3 linked regions of the Pelodiscus sinensis genome follow. The protein of the gene in region 3 interacts with the protein of the main gene of each other region in a biochemical or structural test. Links are inferred from orthologs where the notes say so. Each region holds a gene or a part of one and is shown on either strand. Other genes may lie near its edges.

The links. The genes of interacting proteins can lie anywhere in the genome.
Region 1: the proteins of TEK (region 3) and ANGPT2 form a complex in vitro, tested with the Homo sapiens proteins (7 studies listed by BioGRID and IntAct, with this or other methods). The link is inferred for Pelodiscus sinensis from reciprocal best matches to the Homo sapiens genes TEK and ANGPT2.
Region 2: the proteins of TEK (region 3) and ANGPT1 form a complex in vitro, tested with the Homo sapiens proteins (6 studies listed by BioGRID and IntAct, with this or other methods). The link is inferred for Pelodiscus sinensis from reciprocal best matches to the Homo sapiens genes TEK and ANGPT1.

The regions. Positions count from the first base shown.
Region 1 is NC_134713.1:41,345,243-41,352,229, forward strand, and holds the start of ANGPT2 (angiopoietin-2), read right to left. Parts: upstream 3,001-6,987; 5' UTR 2,686-3,000; coding exon 2,398-2,685; intron 1-2,397. UniProt on the Homo sapiens protein: Binds to TEK/TIE2, competing for the ANGPT1 binding site, and modulating ANGPT1 signaling. Can induce tyrosine phosphorylation of TEK/TIE2 in the absence of ANGPT1.
Region 2 is NC_134712.1:30,479,399-30,487,160, reverse strand, and holds the start of ANGPT1 (angiopoietin-1), read right to left. Parts: upstream 3,001-7,762; 5' UTR 2,599-3,000; coding exon 2,302-2,598; intron 1-2,301. UniProt on the Homo sapiens protein: Binds and activates TEK/TIE2 receptor by inducing its dimerization and tyrosine phosphorylation.
Region 3 is NC_134716.1:15,379,760-15,386,694, reverse strand, and holds the start of TEK (angiopoietin-1 receptor), read left to right. Parts: upstream 1-3,861; 5' UTR 3,862-4,346; coding exon 4,347-4,398; intron 4,399-6,935. UniProt on the Homo sapiens protein: Tyrosine-protein kinase that acts as a cell-surface receptor for ANGPT1, ANGPT2 and ANGPT4 and regulates angiogenesis, endothelial cell survival, proliferation, migration, adhesion and cell spreading, reorganization of the actin cytoskeleton, but also maintenance of vascular quiescence.

The DNA of each region.
Region 1 (6,987 bases), on a different chromosome or scaffold from region 3:
TTTTCCATGTTCAGTGCAACTACTAAGGAAAGAAGAAGTTGCAGTCATTTAATAACAATTTTCTGTCAGTGTTCTATTAACCTTTCAAAACAATTTAAGATACAAATTGAATGATCATTAATTTTGGCTAATCTATCATATTTATTGGAATATTAATGTAGTGGCATGTAGTATGTTAGGTGACAGAATAAAAAGAAATCAAGTAAGGTAAGTCAAGCACTTTAAGGCTTACTATTTGCTTTTCACATCCAGTTAAACCAGGTGTGACTAGTAATATGAGCCTTAACAGAAGTTGGCTTTCTGAAGTGCTCTTTGTAGATATAACAGAAAACAAAATGAGCAGGTGTTAAAGCAATGAAAAGGTAAACAATAAGTCATTCTATAAGATGGTTAGCTGCTAAACATAGAAAGAAACCATTATAAATGGGCAGTGTGCACCTATGGAAACATTTGCAGAACTCAGAGAAATACTTAAATGTGTGTGTCCTCTTTAAAAACAACCAAAAAATGACCTTTTGAATTCTCATTGTTGGATTTGTTTGTCTATTATTTTGTAAAGGATTTCCTAGAGGTTGGCAGGAAAAAGAGAAGTTTGACTAATTGAGGGGGAATTATCTTACAGGTTTTTGCTTTACCTGATGTCACTTTATTAAGAAAACACAATATTACAATAATTTATATGTAGCATAGAATGCTTCTGTGTGCTTTTATTATTCATTTTAGGAAATGACTTGTGGATGGATTAGATTGTTTTATTTTGTATATTTTCATCTTGCATTGTAAATCTGTTAGTGTTGCTCTAACACTGCAATGGAAAATATTGGTAAATCAAGAGAGATGAATGTACAGGTGTATGAAGGGAAACGAACAGGAAGTTAAAGCAAAAGAGTGAATACGGAAGCAAAATGCAGGACAATGTGAATACGGACTGGACATTTAAGATCTATTTGGCAAACTTGTGTGACTAAAATTAATCATCCTAAAACCCTAAAAGAAGGCTTGTGGCATAAGGGTCTGTGTAAAATCTTCCAAGTTTCCAAATTATGAACTGAGTCTAAGGCTAGCTTTCATATATGAAGGTACGCATTGCTTTATATTTTGAAAAAATGCTTCTGTGTGTTAAACATGCACTCTTAGCTGATTTCACAGGGTACATAATCCTGGTTATCTGTGTACCTGCTGGGAGGAAGTGAGTCCTAACACAAATATTATTCCATAATGATAATTCATTATAAATGTTGGAATAAACAAAGAAGTTGACACTTTGTACTTCAGTTTGCAAATCAGCACCATTTTTATGTTGTCATTGAAGCATGTGAGGGTAAATGTTTTCAGTAAGTATTGTAATTAAGTTGATAGGTTAAAGCATTCTTTTTGCTTAAAATACAGGCATAATAGTGTGAAATAGATTTAGGATAAGAGCTATACCATGCAACTAAACTGTTTCTTGAACATAGATTAAAATTGTGTAACTCAAGCTTAAATCAAAATTTAATATACTGGTTAATATTTTGGGAAAGTCTGAATTAGTTTCGGTAAAATTGAAACTTGTTCATGTGGCATTGAATGTATTTGTATTCTCTATTAACATTAAAAATGTTTGAGTGAATAATTTAATTTCTAATCTGCTATTCACGTAGAATATTGCCTCCTTTCAGGTATTTTGTGTGTACCTCTCTGTGTGCATATATACATATGCATTCCCTCAATTATAACAGGTTGTTCTGTAGCAGTTATGAGGACAGAGAGATTTCTGCACTAGCTTTGTTTCGACTTTTTCATTTATAAACTCACTATTTAAGTGGAAGAGTTACAGAATACAAATGATTTTAATTATGTGGAGCTTTCCTGAAACTGTCATTTCCCTGGCTTAATTTCAGTACACATCAGTCTCTGGAGATGCTGAAAGCAGTATTTGCAGATTTAGACACAGAATCTTGAGTCACATACTTAAATTTATCTCTGTAGAATATGCTGAAAATGTATTCCATGTAAATAAACTGTATACCCTTTTAAATAGAGACAAGCTATCCACTGTCAGTTGTTTCTAAAGTTTTTCCTATTACTCATTGCTACATGTATGATTTTTCACATAAATGCCTGCAGCCAGTACATAAAACTGCTAGTAACTATTGTCATTAAAGCTGAGTTGCAAGTTAAACAGCATATTTGTTCTGCAGAATAATATAGCTCTCACTTCTTTTCTACTTATTGTATCCCTAACTTCAACATGAGCTTTTGATTGGACCACTTCATTCTCAAATTTAGCTTGGGAAATACATAGTTTGACAATTTTGTGAAATTAGAGATTTACAGAAGTAGAAAAAGAAGCATTAGTAAAAAATACATAAACATTTTATGTCAGACCCTGTATTTTACAATAGAAATCAGTCTTACCTTCATTAGCCGCTGAGTGTTGTTTTCCATGCTGTTTTCAAGTAGTTGGAGTCTTTGTACAGAATCATCATAATCTAGTGGTGCATCTCTCTGCACTGCATTAGATACATAGGAGCTGGAAGAAGAGCGGCAGTTGTCCATCTCAGGCAATAGAAAGGTATAACTGCACGACCCATGCTGAACCTGGTACTGCTTCTTGCCTATAGTCTCCATGCTTTTACGAAAAGAGCTGTACCCTGAAGCTGAAACAAGATTACAGCTCAAAATAAAGTAAACAGCCAGCCACATTTTAATTGCTACGATAACTCTGCAAATCTTAAGTACTGTATTTTCAGTATTCTTAACAAGAGTTCAGAATATCTAGTTATCTGCTCTGAAATTCAGTGCTTTACTGCCATGTAAAGTACTCTGAATGAGGGCATTTTTTACTTTTCTAGTTGCAAAGTTGGTAAAAAAGTGCTGTCTTCTCTCCAGCTGTGCCCTCACTGTCAGAAACAGTCCTGTCTCAGCTGCAAGTTCTATGTTGGTTTTTAAAATAAGCTTTAATGTTTTCTTCTGCTTGTCTTTTGGCAAGATTTTACAGCTTTGGTATCTGAATCAATCACTTTCCTTTCCTTATATGATAAGTTGATAAGAGTAGCCAGACATGTGTAGCTAAACTGCTCCTCCCTCCTGGCTTATCCGTTATCTTCCTGTAGAGGGGGTCGCTTGCAAGGCAGAACAAAGATCAGAGCACACTTCTGAATGCTGCATGGTATGCGGCACTAAATCTGTTCAAAACCTGATCACTTATAGGACCCCTATGAATTTCTTTAGCACAACTCTAATTAAGAATTTCCTAGACAGAGAAATCAGTTCTGCAAGCCTCCACCTATGCTTCCAGTACAACCTTGTAAATTATTTGTTGTAATCATTTTAAAGTATGCCCACAAAAGGTCCTTTGTTTGTTCCTCTTAAAGAAAAATTCTTTTGAAATGTGTCTGACCAGCATAGCTTGGCCTATGTTTAATAGTTTGTATAAATGAAGAGGAGGATACTTCTAATCAGACAAAAGCAGGCTTCAGTCTACCCTTTCAGAAAGAAATAATGCTCTTTTTTAAGTATTGAACCTTCAACTGTGAACAGATTATGTGTAAATATATTCTACTGCAATTAAAGTAGACTTTTATGTAAATCATGTAAATATGAACAACAAAACTTGAAAGCAGTTTTTAAATGTTAGTCATTTATATTAACTGGCTAATTTAAATTATATTCGTTTTTTAAATATTAAATCAAAAGTCAGCTAGGAAAAAGGGAATAACTTTTCAGAGTAGTTGTAGGAATTCCTCAGTACATGACATGAGGGGAGAGGTATCATACTGGTCCAATATCATGTCTCTAGTAGAGGTCAATAGAAATGATGGAAGGTGAAGAAAAATGTCATGAAGCCATATTTATAATAATCAGTTAAAAAAGATCAGGAAGGAGTTGGATTCCAATAATATCTTGGAAAAATACATCTCTGCTCTAGAAAATATGCTATGGAAACCATAATGCTGGGGGGACTGAATCTTGAAGAGAAATTCCCTGCATCTGGACACAGAAACTGGACTTCTCTACTTAAATATTATTTTTTATTTTTAAGTAAACGTGGTGCTAAAGAAGGTTCCAAAATAATATGCCTCAGGGATCAAAGGCCCCTATTTATACATCTGACAAGCACAGTTAGTTATACCATAAGAAGCATCCTTACAGATTTCCCTATATATCTTTCTATTAACATGGTTTTACTTTCCATGATATGGAAACTACATAAAGATTGTGAAAGCCAGTTATAGGAATTAGAACCTCTACTTTGTTGATCATTGGATGGTTGGGATTTCTTACTCCACTTATATTTTAGTGATTGCCCTATCTGGAGATCATCCAAAGTGTTTACTTCTGGAGAACCCCAACGTGGACAAAATGTGCTTAACTTAAGTTTCTGCTCTGAGAGAGAAAACAAATATGTCAAATTTGTTTCCTGGGAAGTATTTTTTTTCCATTGACTATGCTTTGAATTCCAGTATATTTATTTATCTGAATTTGTCTGAAGACATGATGATGAGGGATATTTGCAGTAAAATATAACTATCAGTGAAACATTTGTTTTTGCTAAATAGGGAGAATTCATAGATTATATGTACAACTCGATATTGTTACCAAAATTAATGAATGTGACAGATGCGCTAAAAGCTTGTCAATACAGCCACAAAACTTCTTTGAATAGAAGTTTCTCTTTTTCAAAAATATTCTACTGTTTGTATAACAGTTTCTCTCAATTAATGAGATTACTTGTGGCAAGGTGTCTGAACAATCATGTTTGTTCTTAGCTTTTTAAAAAAAATCTTAAATCTGATTTTGTCTGGCTAGACATTATTAGGCTATTAGCATTATTAAAGTGTGATTAAGTTAGATTCAGATTTTGTTTTACATTTTTGAGGGATTTTTACTTGACATTTTTTTCTTAGATGTTGTCAGATTGGCTTTTCCCCCGAAAGTATGTCCCAAAGCATTTAAGGCCCTTGATAAGTTAGTTTGAAAATACTGAGGAGGAAAATACTTCTCATGAGGTTCTTCTTTTCTGTAACTTCCTCCAATGCTGAAAGTTTCCATTTTCTTAATGAGGAATACTTGGAAGATTCATCTTACTTTTCTTTGACTTTTTGGTGTGACCTTAGTGTATTTTCATACTTCAATTTGACAGTGAAGTGGAGGGCAACATTTACCGGTATGATCTCCTAAAGGATTTCTTTTTGGTTGGTTGAGTTGCACTGGCGCCTTTATGTAAAGAAGACAGGGACTTTGAGAAGATGTCAAACAGAGAAGAACCAAGAACCCTTTCCTGGGGGAAAAGGGTAGCTCTTGATTTGAAAAAAATCTTACATGAGATAGCATTTCTGATTTACTAAGGATCATGCATTCATCCTTCTGCATACTGGTTGACTAAATCACTCAGAACATTGTTATACTTAAATTCATCTGGGTTTTTGAGAAGGGATCAAAGGGATTGGATGTGATCCAGCAACCCCTAATGACCAATGGGCAAGAAGGTTAGAAGAATGTCATGTGAAGTCTTAACTGAAAGCCAGCATCATATTGGTCATTAATGTTATGAAATGTATGTACAGATACTATGTTGGAGCCATGGATATATATTGAAAATACATTTTAAATTCTGTATTATGGCAAAAGTGAGAGCTTTTGTCAGACAAAAAATGTTTATTCACCTCTTTCTCATAAATTATATAAACAAACCATCAAAAAGTCAGCAGAGATGTGTAAAGTCAACAGGAAAAACAAGCAATGGGGTTATATTATGTCTCAGTAAAAACTGAGCTTTTGGGATGTAAGTATAAAGCAAAGAGGGCACCCCACTGATCCTGAATGTAGAAAGTAAATAGGCAGTGCATTTACATTCATGAAAATAGGATCACAACAAGCCTTGGTGGAAGATGCTATAAAAGGCTTTGGTGAGATGAACTTCTTTAGAAATTAGCCTGTTAAGTTTAGTCTTTAGAAAATGTACTACAAGTTTGTTTTATATGGTAATCTTTATTTTTCTGTTATCCTTAGTGATAGTCTCTTCTGTCATGAACCTCCTTGATTTCACCTTAAATATCTCTGAGCTGTGATATTAGGAAAGGTGCTGCTGGTGCTGACTTGAAGGATTTAAGTCGGTGTGCACACTGATCCCTTGGGGACAGCAGACCTGGTATTTCTGAGTGTTCAGCAGATACAACAAGGGAATGATTCAAACTGAGCTCAGGGCCTGGTATTACACTTTTTTTTTAAACTTTCAAGGTTAAGTAAAGGGTGCCACAGCCAAGCTGAGAGTGATTCAGTGGCTAATAAGCTGGGGATGTTAGGGCACTGACAGTTAAACACTCAGGAACTTCTCTCTTACTGAAGTCAAGGGAGTAACCAGATGCATCAGTCATGGGTGCCCTGAGAAACTCACACTTGAGCCCTGGCTCTTGAGGGTTGCACTTGCTTCTGTGTTGCGAACGATAGGAATAACTATGAGAACCTGTTTGAGGATAGATAGGCTAAGAGTAAGATTGCAGTGGAGGACTGTGGTGAGGCAGAATGGATGCCCACTGATCCAGAGAGGGAGGCGTCCCTCCCAGAGCCCTGGTGGGAGGATCCTGGCTAATAATGCTTGATAAAGCTTGAACCTCCACAGGAAAGAAATTTGGTGGTTTGAATGTTGGGAAGATTAACCAATTTAGCATTTCGGTTGAATGAGTGGCACCTAGTTGCTGCACTGGCATTCATGAGTTCAGCAAGATTGATGTGGTGAGTACACACATCTGTCCCCAGGGATGCTGGCTGGAACCCACGTGAAAGTAGTGAGCTAGTCTACAACAATCTCTTTAGAGATCTGTGGGTAGATGCACTGCTAACTAATATTTTGTTTGTGGAGAATTAGTCTAGAGCTCCTGCACAGTGAGACTTCCCTTTACTGTCCAATACGTGTGTCTGGTGATGAAGTGAGTTGGAGATTCCCCTCAGGTATATCAGTAAGGACTTTTGGCGTCTCAACATCTGGGCCAGGCAGACTTACTC
Region 2 (7,762 bases), on a different chromosome or scaffold from region 3:
GATAGATAGATAGATAGATAGATAGATAGATAGATAGATAGATAGATAGATAGATAGATGATTTATATTACCATGTGGAGGACCTGTGCACAGAATGATTGTAATGGAATGATTTGGGTCATAGCAATAAAACAACTAATATTTCTAATTTCCAATCTTCACAGCAGGTGCATTAGAAAGTGAACAAACAGTATATTAAATACATCTTACATTACAAATTCAGGAAAAAATAATTTGAGGGGATAGAAATTGGGGGTGGAGGTTAAATATTTTCCTTGTTTTGAAAGGGAGATGGCTATTGCTGATATGGGCTGCAATGACAGCAGCAAATTCAGTATTCAGGGTCGTAATAATGTAACCAGGTCAGATTCATTTGCCTCCACACTGAGAAACTGAACCTTTTATTCTAGTGAAAAACGGACTCATGCAGATAAGTTCTCACTGCTGCATGCCAGTTTCATGTAACCCGTGGGAAGGTTTCACCTGCAGGCAAGTTTTGATCATTGACAAAGTGCACAGACCTCAGAGGTAACATTTACACTGACTAGCTACCTGTTTATCCATCTTCTCCCCCTAAAATGTGAATACTAGCTCTAATTCAGACTCAGAACTCGAGAGACTCATTTTTCTTCTTGTCCAATTCCCAAGTGAAACAGTGATCTTAGTTCAGTCCCTAGTGGACAAATGCAGAAATAAGTAACAATCTCATAAGCATGATTCAGCAGGCAGTTGTTCAAGTAAAACCATGAGCGCAGGAACACAGATAACATTTTTACTTTCCATAGAGTTTGCTTTGAAAAGTACAGTGATAACTGAATAAGAAATGTTACACCCTCCAAAGAGACAAGCCTCCAGTTCTAATCTTTTGTCTTTCTAAAGTACTTCATACAGTTTAAATAAGGACTGAAATAAAAAGTGAAAGCTACAGGACTGAGCTTATCTCACTATGTATGTTTTCTTTTACACATGTGTTTACTGCACTTAATCATCCTCATACCATTAGCAGCAAACATAGAGTAACTGCAGATAAATTGACAAGGAAATAAGGACACTAACGACAGAACTGTAAAACAAAAGGTGTTAAATCTTTTCTGTAGTAGCTAACAGGGATGGGAATTGTAAATGATACAGCTGTCAACAATTACATTAAAATGGACTTTTATTGTTTATCCAATATTTGTTCTAAATGTCAACTCTTATTACATCTGAAACATGTAACTTGTGGAATACAAAAGACAGAAAAATTTGTTATTGCAGTCTTAGCTTATTAAACATTTCACCAATTGTTTGAGTGGTTTTAGTGTTACTGGCTAAGTAACACTAAAGAAGTTACAGGGACAGCAGTAATATCTGTGAGTCCACTGATACAGATAAAAATATATGTTTCTGATAGAAATGATCAGCTGTGCAGGATCGTAACTCACTGCCAATTCTCATTACCAAGACAGTGGCTTACTTCCACTTGTAGCTTTACTCACATGAGCAGTCCCACTGAAGACAATGGGATTACTCAGATAAGTAAAGGTATTCACCTGCATAAGTCTTGGCAGGATCAAAGCTCCAAATTACATTTTAAATACAAGAAGTTAATCTGAAAGTTTACACTTTTAGCACAAATTATTTAAAAAGAATTTATTTTTATATTCCCCCAAAATCTCCTGAAATTCCTGCAATACTATCTACTTTATGTAGACATGTCAATGAAAATCATGCTGTTTCATGTTTAATATAATCTATACATTTTTAAAAAAGTCATACTGTGATTTCTAAAAACATGTATATTTCTGCATTTTATGAATTAACTGACTATGGCTGTACAACTGACTCTGTTTTGGGGAGATTAATGGAATTCTCATTACATGGCTTTCAAATTATTAATCACATTAAGGCAGTCATGTCACTATTTTGTTAAAAATGCATAGTTGCTGTGTATACCAGGTATCCTTCTTGACATCTGATCTGTCGTCCAGAACTATAAATAGATGTTATAAGAATACTTAATGAAAAGCGTGCCATCATTAGAAGTCTCTGAAGGATTATTATACACTCTGGCTCTCAAAATATGGTCCCCTAAGATCAAGCTTTAAAAAAGACATCTTCCAGCAATGTTAAGAAAGTTTTGCTCCCCAAAACAAAGTAAGCCCAGGAGGAAGTGGTGAGCACTAGCTGTAATATTTCTCACATGGAAATAGACAAATCCACATTATCTCAGGTCTCAAAGAAGCACATGCAAACTGTGAACAGCACAGGAAAACATGATAAATAATCAGTTAAAGCAGAATTTGAAAGCGCAATACTTACTTTTTGCAGCCACTGTGTGTAATTTTCCATCACATGTTCCAGATGTTGCAGTTTCTGAGAAGAGAAATCCTGTTCCACGTGAGGAGCATCTCTCTGAAGAGCATTTGTGTTGTATTGGTCTGTCGTGCTTTCACGACAGTTCCCGTCTTGTTCTGGAAGAATGAAAGTATAGGTGCACTGCCCATGCTGAATCCGGCTGTATCTTCTCCCAGTGGTTTCTGGACCCCGGCGCTGATTACTGCACCCTATGTGAGCCAGAAGAGCAGCCAGGAAAGCAAAAGAAAGGAAAATTGTCATGTTATTACTACTTTTCTTTCCTGCTCTTATAGAAACTTTTACCTCCTCTGTCTTTTAATGTGTCTTTATTTTATAGAAAAAAATCTTTGGAAAGAGGATTGGAGAAGAGTATTTAAATCTCAGCTTGGGCTAAAATGGTTTTTATTTCACAGTAATTATAGCTTCCTTAGTTAAATTTAGAAATATTTATTGCATAGTAGCTAAGATTTATGGTTTCCTCTCTGTTACAGTCCAGCATGTAGCCTTCCTTAGTTAGCTGCATATGCATATCCCAGTCTCTCTCCCCTACACTATCTGCTGCAGGACTGCTATTTTCTCTCAGACCTCAGAGAGTTTTATTAAGGTTGCACTTTCAAGCCAAGCTGGAAGCAGGCTGCCTTTCACAAGATGACTTGATAGGAATGTGTGTATGAGTGCGCCCCTATGCTAAGGATGGCTGATGGCTCAGTACAGAGGGATCATCTTACAAACTGGCTCGATGCATTACTTCAGTCTTGACTAGTTGTTCTGTTCCTGTTGCACAGAACTGCTCCGGACAAATTCACATATGTTTATTAAATGGGGCAGTCCACCTTAATATACTTCCTATGTTCACACTGACTTATTAATATGTAGATAAAGTGTAGAAATTTGTTGTAATCCCTTATAAGTAAATATGCAGAGTCCTGAAAATAAAAAATGTTCAGTATTAGCTATTTGATTGTCTTTTGAATGCTAAGACAGAAAACTGACACTTATGGAAAATATTAACATTTCCCATGCTTCTTTTTTTTTACAATGACATTTTGAGCAGTGTTTACAGAGATTCTCTGCACAAGGCATGATGAAATCAAAACTGCCAAATAATATTTAGAAAGAGCTATGCAGAAGAGTGGCATTTCTATATGTTCAGTTAAAAGAATAATATGTCTAATTTGAAAAAATCATAGTCAGATGTGCTAGACAGAATATACCCTATTTGCTATTGTGTGTGTTCATGTAAAATGTTTCTATGAATCTGAAAGTTTGCATTAATTAAATTAGCATTCCTCATTATATGTTTTATTATTTTGTATATTATTATGCATATGTAATAGTCCTTTCTTGAGTGCAGAGGACTGGAGTAGATGACTTATTGAGGTCCTTTCCAGGTCTTCACTACTGTGATCTAGGCAGTATTTCCTAATAATAACCTCCTTCAAAAAAGCACTCAGGGACCTATTTAGAATAATATTTTAAGCATTAATAATGTCTTTGAAGATGGGTCCAGGAAACAAAATTTTGAAACAATCTAAAAGTTCCTAAATTTCATGTGAGTTTGAATCCAGATTCCCATTACATCTCTAGTACATTGCATATAAATCAGAGTTAACTCCTCTGGAACCCACTTTACAGCAAACTGATGTAAGGAGGTCTTTAACATCAATATTGTTATTGGTAGCAACAAGACAGCAAAAAAACTATTTGCATCAGTAAAGGCTGCCTAGATTCCACCTTTGGTGCTTGTGTGGGTATCATAAGCATTTCTATAGAAATTCCACTTTGATTCAACAAAGTTGCAGGGGTTGTGAACCAGAATTCTTTGCTGTTCCTGAAGAAGCTACTGCCAGTCAGAGTTAAAGACTTAGTCTTTTTTGTTCAGTTCAGCCTGACCTTTCATCATTAGCCTGAAAAGGAGCCAATGTATTTAAACTACAAGGAAATCTATTTTCTTCTGAGAAAGAGAACACAAGGAAACTTTCAGAGCAAGGTAACATGTTCTTGATCTGAGAGAGAGAGAGAGAGAGATGAAATGGGACTAAGAAAAGAAAAGAATAATTCACTTTGGAAGAATAAAAACTTCCCTCCGTTCTTAGAACTAGTCAGCCCTTACTTCACCTTTCTTATTTTCTTTTCCTTGCTTCTATACCTATTTTTAAAATTAACTTAATAGAACCCATTATACTACAAGCACTTTTCATACTGTTCCAATATTCTCAGACTTACTTCTCTGAACTGGCTCCGACAGGGGAAGCACAAGCAACCTCCCTTCTCTAAACTGCACCAGTGCCTGCAATGAACTTGCTCCTGAGATTGTCAATTCCCTTGGCAGGGACCTGGCACAGAGGAAATGAACCAGAAAGTTCAGGATCTGCTCATAGCCCTTATGAATACAACTGTGGCCACATATGCACACATATAATACAAATATACATTTACTATATTTTTTTTCTAGATATGATGCCTTGCATAAGGCCATACAAGAAAAGACTAACATTTTCTAAAGTTCACTATTCCTATCTCTTTATACTGCTATCATTCTCTGAGAAGTTCAAAGGACCACTACTATCTTCAAGTTCTCCTCCTCATTACAAGAGTATATTCATCCAATCATCAAATAATAATATCTTGTGACTTATGTGACCAACTCCAATTAACCAACATGGCTCAAATTTTGAATATCAAGGATTTAATTCTGTCAGTCAACTGTTTGTGATTTTATTCCTGAAAGGAAAAGGCAGTTCCCTTCCCACCCACAAAAAAACCACGTATTGAGTAATAGTGACTAATAAATACATTTGAAGGAATTCTCCATCTTCCAGCTGAGATTCCATGATGAAAAAAAGGAACTTAATTGAGTAAGTAATTTATTCACAATCACTTACTCAGTTCTGGGTAAGTACAAATGATCCCTGTTTTACAGATTCAGAGGCAGATAAAGACTAAGGGTATGTCTACACTACCACCCTAGTTCGAACTAGCGGGGTAATGTAGGCATACCGCACTTGCAAATGAAGCCCAGGATTTGAATTTCCCGGGCTTCATTTGCATAAGCCGGCTGGCGCCATTTTTAAATGCCGGCTTGTTCGGCTTGGAACGAGGCGTACAGATAGTTCGGAATGGCTTGCTAGTTCGAACTATCTAGCCCGTGCGGCGTGTAGCCGCGTGGCACGGGGTTCGAACAAGCCGGCATTTAATAATGGCGCCGGCCGGCTTATGCAAATGAAGCCCGGGAAATTCAAATCCCGGGCTTCATTTGCAAGCGCGGTATGCCTACATTACCCCGCTAGTTCGAACTAGCGGGGTAGTGTAGACATACCCAAAGTGACTTGTCCTAATTTACAAGGAAGTCACTGGCAGAGCACTGACAGAACAGAACCCAGGTGTGAATTTACTTTCCACATTCAAATGCATTCCCAAGAGCACTTCCTCAATGACTGTGTCCTTCACCCCCTTGTACTTTCGCTATAACAAAATCCTGGGACAGTGTAGAGATGGCCCAAGAAGTCTTCAGCCTGCTTTTTTTATTTAGTTGTAACTTGAAATTCAGCAGTTGACCATGTAATCCAACCTAATACACAAAATGGATGAGGATTTTGTCCAGATCAAAGTTACACTCACATAACCTTAGTTCCCATTTATCTTGAAGAATACACACATATGTAATTGGATGTTTTTTGTCGTAGAATATTTATTCACAGACTTTAAATATACTTAATGAACAAAATCAATGAAGTTTCTTTACATATCTATTGCAATGTGTGTTGTTGCTGCAATTAACCTAGATTAAGTTACAACACATCATACAATATAACTGGATTGCTCCTGCATAACTTTCTCTACATCATCGCAACAGAAAATGTATAGAAAGTATCTGTCAGGACCTAGATAGCAAGTCCAGGATTTTTTACCTCCAGCAGAATCAATGGAATTTTACACTGTTCTATTGATACCTTACTTTCTCAACAGAGCACTTAATCTCAATTAAAATATATACCAGGAATTTCAGGATAGAGTTACTGAAATGAGGTCTGGATTTTGATTTCATTGACACCGGCTTTGTATGTGTGTTACTCCACTGACTTCAGTGTTCCCGATATACACCCATAATATATGAGGTAGAATTGCAGACACTTTTTCCAGTATCTGATTATCAAGGACACAAATTCAGTTAGCCAATGGAGAAGAATTATTTACCATTTTAAACACTTTCTCCTATTGCTTGAATGTTTTGGTTGTTAATCTCCTGGGGGTAAGTTGTTGGTGGTTTCAACTAAATGAGTCTTCAGGAGTGAAGTGTATATATTTACATTTGTATATTCAAGCCATGAATCTTATGCAGTATACTCCACCAGGTCATTCTGTCAAAGGAACACTCTAATGTACAGAGTCATTCTATTTCCCTCTGCAGCTTTTACAGCATCTGATCTCACACTTGGGAGCAACCAAGCAGCAGGGAAGATTGACATAGTGGTAAAAAAGCAGCAGGTCTTTAAAAGGACGCAATGGTCTGCTGCAGAAACAACCGAGCTACCGGTTATTCTCGTTTGGTCTGGTGAAAACATTTTCTGTAGACCAATTGGATTCTGTTTCTCAAACACAAATGATGAGGCTTGTTGGGGCTCTCTATGGCTTTATTACGTTATCGGACAGATCCCAAATGAGCAGTGGTTAAGAATGTTGTGCCCCTATTTCCTGAAAACTTCATTTCATGCTGTGGAATGCATGAAAAAAAATGAGTAAATCTTACCTTCCTCACAACTCATACTTTTTACCCATGGTCAGAGAAAGTCAATTAGACAAATTCAGTTCACTTGATTCTTATTCATTACACAGGAAAAACTACCAAAATAAACCCTTAACTTCTTGTTTAATAGAGGCTTTTAAACCAACATTTATGCCCATTGGACTCACAATTCTTTCCATGCACAAGGCCTTTTATTGCATGCAACTGCCATTCCCATCAACAAGAATTGTGGGTGTTTATCTGGGTCATGAACTGTTTGTAAACAACTGGAACAGATTTCCTGGTTCTTAATGACTACCTACAGGAAAAATAGTGGTGATCCCACTTTTCTGCAATTCTTTTTTGGGTGCCTATAACAAAAACAACCTGATGTTGGTGTTATTAATGATGGATGTTACATAGGGATACATATACAGGGCTGAACTTCTGGTGCCCAGAAAATGATTAGTGGGTACAAATCTCATTGCCTGTGCTTCCAACAATCCAATTTGTGCTCACAGTCAGGAAGCAAGAAATGCAAGTATTGATTTGCATCTGCAACTGAACTATGTGTGCAATACACAAACATAAAAGTTGCTGGAGTAAATTGTAGCCTTTTTAGTGCTGACCAACAGCACAGTAACTGCTGAATAATTTACTTATTCCAGAAACTACTCCCAGGACTTGTTCCCCACTGGT
Region 3 (6,935 bases):
AATTGGCAGCCGGTGCTTAATTAACCCCAGCTGCAAGCTGCCTCCTAATTAGGACTCTATTTTCTACTCTGGCTGCTAGGCTGTGTTCAGGTGAGGCTAATTTGGAAACAAAAAAGCATTAACCCACCTCCCTATATGGCTGCCTTCTCTAAGAGTTTTGCAGTTTGCAGGCTGTGGTCTGTCACAATTAGGCAAATCAAAAGTGCAAATGAAGCAGGGATTTAAATATCCTGCACTTTATTTGCATAATAACGTCACAGCATTTTTTCGAAAAAGGTATTTCGAAAGTGAAACCGCAGTCTAGATGCGGTTCTTTCGAAAAAAAACCCTCTTTTTCGAAAGATCCTGTACACCTTAAAAAATGAGGGGTATGGGAACTTTCGAAAAAGGGTTTTTTTAAAGAACTGCGTCAAGACTGAGGTTTCACTTTTGAAATACCCTTTTTCGAAAGAACACTGTGACGCTATTATGCAAATGAAGTGCAGGATATTTAAATCCCTGCTTCATTTGCACTTTTGATCTGCCTAGTTTACGTCCCTCTTTCGACAGAGGGATGTAGTTTAGACATACCCCCTGTGACATACACAAACTGTTTATGTTTCTAGGCATCTGGGAACCTTGTTGAAACCCCATACCGGGAAATATTCCTACTCCCATTCAAGTCAGCAAGAATTTTCCTATTGTCTTCAAATTGAAGCAGAATCAGTCCCATAACCCACTTTCCATTAGCGACTAAGATCTGATTTCTGTGTTTTGCTGAAGTGTCATTCTGGGTGTAAAACATCTCGGTAAGACTACACTGTTTTCTAATACTTGGGTTTATTTTTTGTCAAGTAGTTATAAGTAGGAAATCCCCTCTATTTACAGTTGTATTGATTTGTCTGAGTGTTGCCTCTCCACTTGATAACTTTTACTAATTCATGTGGTTTTACTCTCTATGATTTTATCTTGTTTATTCTTTGTTCCCCGGCATTTAGGTTCCACTGAAGTCAAAACAAATTGTATTGTGATTTATACACATCAAATTTCAGAGTCTGTTTTCAGTCTTGGAATGAAAAAAAATTGAGTAAAATAGATTAAGTAATGTGGTTTGCTGGAGAGCTCTTGGCTTTGCTGTACTGCATTTGACATGTTTTGTTAGGGTTCTCTTTCATGTTTATGTTGTAGATGCCTTGCAATAAGCACCTTCTGCATGGATTAAATAAATAAACAACAAGACAATTGTATCTTGTGATTGGGCATCTGCCTTGCAATGGCCCTGACTGACCAGATGGATGGGCCAGTAAAGGATCATGGACATGTCAAGAGAGAGCTCCCCTGCTCAATGTGTGGGTGAAGGATGAAAAATGAGAAGACCCATGAAAAGATGCAGGGGAATCCAGAGACACAAGAGATTGTGGCCAAGTCCCTGGATAACAAGGAAATGGGGCTAAGGGATCATCTCTGAAAAATCATGGAAGACAGGAGAGATTCCAGAAGACTGGAAAGGGGAAAATCTAGTGCCCATCTATAAAAAGGGAAATAAGAACAACCCAGGAAACTACAGACCAGTCAGTTTAACTTCTGTGCCAGGAAAGATAATGGAGCAAGTAATTAAGGAATTAATCTGCAAACACCTGGAAGATAATACGGTGATAGGTAACAGCCAGCATGGATTTGTAAAGAACAAATCATGTCAAACCAATCTGATATCTTTCTTTGATAGGATAAGAGTCTTGTGGATAAGGGAGAAGCAGTGGACGTGGTATACCTAGACTTTAGTAGGGCATTTGATGGGGTCTCGCATGATATTCTTATCAATAAACTAGGCAAATACAACTTAGATGGGGCTACTGTAAGGTGGGTGCACAACTGGCTGTATAACCATTCTCAGAGAGTAGTTATTTACGGTTCACAACCCTGCTTGAAGGGCATAACAAGTGGGGTTCTGCAGGGGCCAGTTTTGGGACCAGTTCTGTTCAATATCTTCATCAACGATTTAGATATTGGCATAGAGAATACGCTTATTAAGTTTGCAGATGATACGAAGCTGAGAGGGGTTGCAACTGCTTTGGAGGATAAGGTCGTAATTCAAAATGATCTGGAAAAACTGGAGAAATGGTCTGAGGTAAATAGGATGAAGTTTAATAAGGACAAATGCAAAGTGCTTTACTTAGAAAGGAACAATCAGTCTCACTCATACAGAATAGGATGCGACTGTCTTGGAAGGAGTACTGTAGAAAAGGATCTAGGGGTCATAGTGGACCAGAAGCTAAATATGAGTCAACAGTGTGACGCTGTTCCAAAAAATGCAAACATGATTCTGGGATGCATTAATAGGAGTGTTGTGAGCTCTACTCTGCGCTGAGTAGGCCTTAATTGGCGTATTGTCCAGTTCTGGGCACCACATTTCAAGAAAGATGTGGAGAAATTGGAGAAGATCCCGAGAAGAGCAACAAGAATGATTAAAGGTCTAGAGAACATGACCTATGAAGGAAGACTGAAAGAATTGGGCTTGTTTAGTTTGGAAAGGAGAAGACTGAGAGGAGACATGATAGCGGTGTTCAGGAATGTAAAAGGGTGTCACAAGGAGGGGGTAGAAAAATTGTTTTTCTTGGCCTCTGAGGATAGAACAAGAAGCAATGGGCTTAAACTGCAGCAAGGTTGGTTTATGTTGGACATTAGGAAAAACTTTCTAACTGTCAGCGTGGTTAAATACTGGAATAAGTTGACTAGGGAGGTTGTAGAATCTCCATCTCTGGAGATACTTAAGAGCGGTTTAGATAGACATCTATCCGGGATGGTCTGGTGCTGGGTCCTCCCATGAGGGCAAGGGTCTGGATTCGATGACCTCTTGAAGTCCCTTCTAGTGCTAGTGTTCTATAATTCTATGATCTCCAGGAACAGGTGCAAGAGCTTCACGGGAAACTAGCAACCATGGAGGAGGCCCTGCACCTACCAGAGAGGAGCTTGGAGTGCAAGAGAACTCACATCAAATGTGACCAAGAGGTGAGAGAGAACATCTGTTTCCTCTTGAAAGTAGTAGAGAAAAAGAGGAACCAAGAGATGCTGGGTCAGAAACAGTAAAATCCCAGAGGGCTGTAGGCTTAAGGGGGAGTGTGTGTGGTGGGGCATCTGTCCTGCACAGTCCTGTAGGTGTTAAAGCCAACTTAGGGAGACTCAGTAGCCGACAGTCACAACTGAGGCTGCAGATAATTAGGCTAAGTGGTAGGCTACAAATTAGGGCACAGCTAGCTCTGATAAAAGGGAAGCCACAGACCAGGGGTGGGTGTCTGATGCAGAGGACCCGAGGGGAAGGCAGGCTTCCTAGATGGCTGCACAGTTAGCACAAGGCTGCACAGCTAGCCTTGCGATGTCTGGCAGGCTTGAGGCCTGGAGAAGAGAAAATTTGGGGAGGGGCAGTGAAAGGAATCAACTAAAGAGTCCCTGGATTGGGACCCAGCGTAGCAAGTAAGCCTGCCCATCCCCCTTTTCTCTCCCCATCACTCGCCAGTGATGAAAGTGGCCAGGATAGACTGCCGTTTGTCTCTGGAGTCTAAGCTGAGTCCTGCAATGGGCCCCTGAGGCGAGTGACAAGATAGTGGGTTGCTGATCTCCCAGGACTGGAGAGGGACAATAGTACTGGAGCTCAGGCAGAGGGCTGTGCTCCAACGTAGACAATGCAGCTCGGGACCGACACAGATCCAGACAGGGAGCGGACAAGAAGTAGCTGTGGCGAGGCACTGCGTTGGGAGGTCAATAGAGCTAACTCCCAGCATGGCCAGCAGGAGGCGCCATGGTGGTGAGTTGAACCCTGTGACGTATCCTGGAAACTCTTCACTGAAGTGCTGAAGTGTAAGGTGACCTGTGGAGCGATTAGCAGATGTGTAGTTAGAGCAGAGGTGGGGATGACAATTTCCACATGCCATTCATAGATAGAGAGCTTGTTTTCAGTATTCCGCCTATTGGAGGATGCCACTATTGTTCTTGACATTGCTGACCGTGACCTGTTGCTGGTTCTCTCAGAGCAATCCCCTGCCTCTCCAACAACCCCAGATAAGTGCTATGATGTATTGCTAGATGGACAGGATTTGCAGTGCTTCACAGTCCTGTTGATACAAAATGCCTTTAAGATCCTGCCTTTCCCATCCTAATCTACAAAGGAAACAGGAAAAAGGAACTTAAACTCCCTGTACTCAGACAGCAATGAGACTGTTATAGCCCACTCCAGCACTGCAATTTCTTGCTTCTGTAAACAAGAGTTCTCATATCATGCAAGCGAAGAGTAACCAAGGTCTGCTCCATTAAAAGGATACTCCTAACCCCATGAGCTGCTGTGGAAACTGGATGGATATATTTTGGAAAGCATGGACTCTTTAGCACATTTAATTCTCTGTGGATTCAGCCTGATAATTTCAGGTAAGACTTTGTTTTAGTTACTGAGCTAGTGCTGCGATATGCCATGGCTTTACTGTTTTTTGCACAATGAACAGACAAAAAGCCTGATCCTTACTGGTATAATTTTCACATTGACTTCAGTGGGATTATTTGCATAAATAAGGATCTCTCCTGTTGGTGAGGGTAGCACAGTTATGCCCTGATTCTCTGTAAGAGGACGGCTGACTGTGTTTGGGATATGTAGCTAAATCATTTTAAATCTAGCTGCTCTTTGTTTATACTTACAATCACCACGGTGTGGATTTCTCTGCTGAACCAGTTAACTTTTTCTCTGAGCCTGTGATATGGAAATGATCACCATATGTTTTTTGCAAAATCTGTTGTAAATGTTGATTCTTACAGTCCACTTCATAAATATAGAGCTGAAATACTGGTAAAAATCTGATGTGTTCTATCTAGTATTTATTTTTAGCAAGACTCTTACAGCTGCTGAATCTAGACACTAATTACTGGACACTGATGCTTGAATAATATGCATTAAATGCAATGGATTGGCTCATTTCAAACACTATTTAAAAACACATCTGTCTCAACAATGTTATTACCAGACATAATTTGATTGTCTAAATAGTGCTAACTGTATGTATTTCCCATAGCTGGTAAGCATAAACTTCTTATGATTTTACTAATGCAAAGTTTATTTCACAGCAAGAAAAGCCTAGAAGTCAGAGATGCGTTTCTCAAATAAGATATGCTTCCTCTTTCTTCTGAGTATTAGCTTCTTTCCATGCAGTTTTCTCTCAGCATTGAAGCTCACACTGCTAGTGTCTCTCTCTGACCTGTTTCTAGGCAATCTCCTCAATGTAAGATACAAAACATAAACCTAGAGATGGTTTCAAACCAGAACCCCAGATTTTTACTAATCTCTGAAAGTTTAGCTCCAGATCTAATTTTTCTGGCTCCGGGCTATCTCTACATGAAAAGCAATGTGTTTGATAGCTGCAGGCTGTGACAGTGAGAGACAGAAGGAATTAACAAAAGAAAATGTAATTTTTTATTGCTGTATAACTTGTGAAGCCTAAAGATCAGGAGATTGTAGAACAACAATGTTCAAAAGTAAGAAGAATGGCCAACAAAAGGGTTTGGAGTTTTGAGAGTTTTTTAAGTATCTGGAAAGGTATGTGGCAATATGTAGGCCAAAAAGTTTACATAAAATGTGGTGGTGGTGTGCATATTGTTGTATAATTATTGCCGCATTAGATTGCATATTCTATATTCCTCTTGTGCTAGGGGTTGCCTGTTTGATGTAGAGGTATAGCACTGCATCCTATTTAATTCTCAGTTCAATACTGATTTTTCACGTAAGAGGCAGATAGGCTGTGCCCTGAGTGTTATATTCAGAAGATGAAAAATAGGGCTTCATAACTGAATGGGACAATACTACATCCCTCTCTGAGTTAAATCTCCTCTGGGTCTCCCTTCCTTGAAGCCAACTCCTCATGTATACACATGATTGTTACAGGAAGCAAGTAAAATCCATGAAGTCATGTGCATGAGTGAAAAACAAAAGCGATCGGCACAGATTAGCAATAAACATGGACAGTGTGCTCACTTCAGTTTGGTATTGAAGAGTTGCCAGTCACAGCCCTTTCCACAGGGCTTGACCAGTTAGGTGTGTATTGTAGTCACACCCATCTCAATAGATCTGTCAGCTTTCCCGCTTTTGTTCAAGTGTGATATCATGTTTCCTGGGGCGAGCTGTGGAAGACAATGCTAACCCCCTTTCCTCTAGATAGAACAGGCGGAGTTCAGGAAAGCAGTATTGACATTCCCTGAGCAGGGGAGACATTAAAGTCAATGCAATTGGCAGACTATGAACTGACTTAACCTTGTCCCAAATGGTAGTGGGCCTTTGTGTGCGTGCTGCTGGGTAGGCAAAAATCTACTCCACCCTTGTTCCAAGGTGGGGACTATGCATTTAGGCTTGGCTCCTGGCTACATTAAATGCCCTGTAATTTCCTTTCCTTCATCATGACCCTCAGCCAAAAGACTTGATTTCCAAACAAGTTATTAAAGTAAGATATAATGTATGCCTCTCTCCAACAATGCACAATCCAAAGTGTATCTCAATTATACTTGCAAGAGGGACAAGTTTAATGCTAGGGATAGACCTGACAAAACCAATAATGTGAACACACTTTCCTTCTTCAGAGTTTTTCCTTCTACACTTTGGGCACTACGTAGCCCTTAGGGATGTAAGCGACTAGTCGACTCGACTAGTTGTTCTCCACCCCTGCTGCCTCTATGGAGAGAGGCAGCGGGGGGAGGGGGCGCAGGAGCTGGTGCTGGTGCTGGGGGGGAACCAGTAAAGCTGGTTCTCTGCAGGAGGCAGGGGAGGCAGAGGCACAGTGGGAAACGGTGCAAGTGGGGACTGCTTCAGGCCTGCTCGCGCTGGTTCCCACTACAGGCGCTTCTGCTTTTGAAATGTACAAGAGCCCTGCAGGGAGCATGGGGGGAGCAGGGACTCAAGGAGTCCCCACTCATCCCGTGCTCTCTGT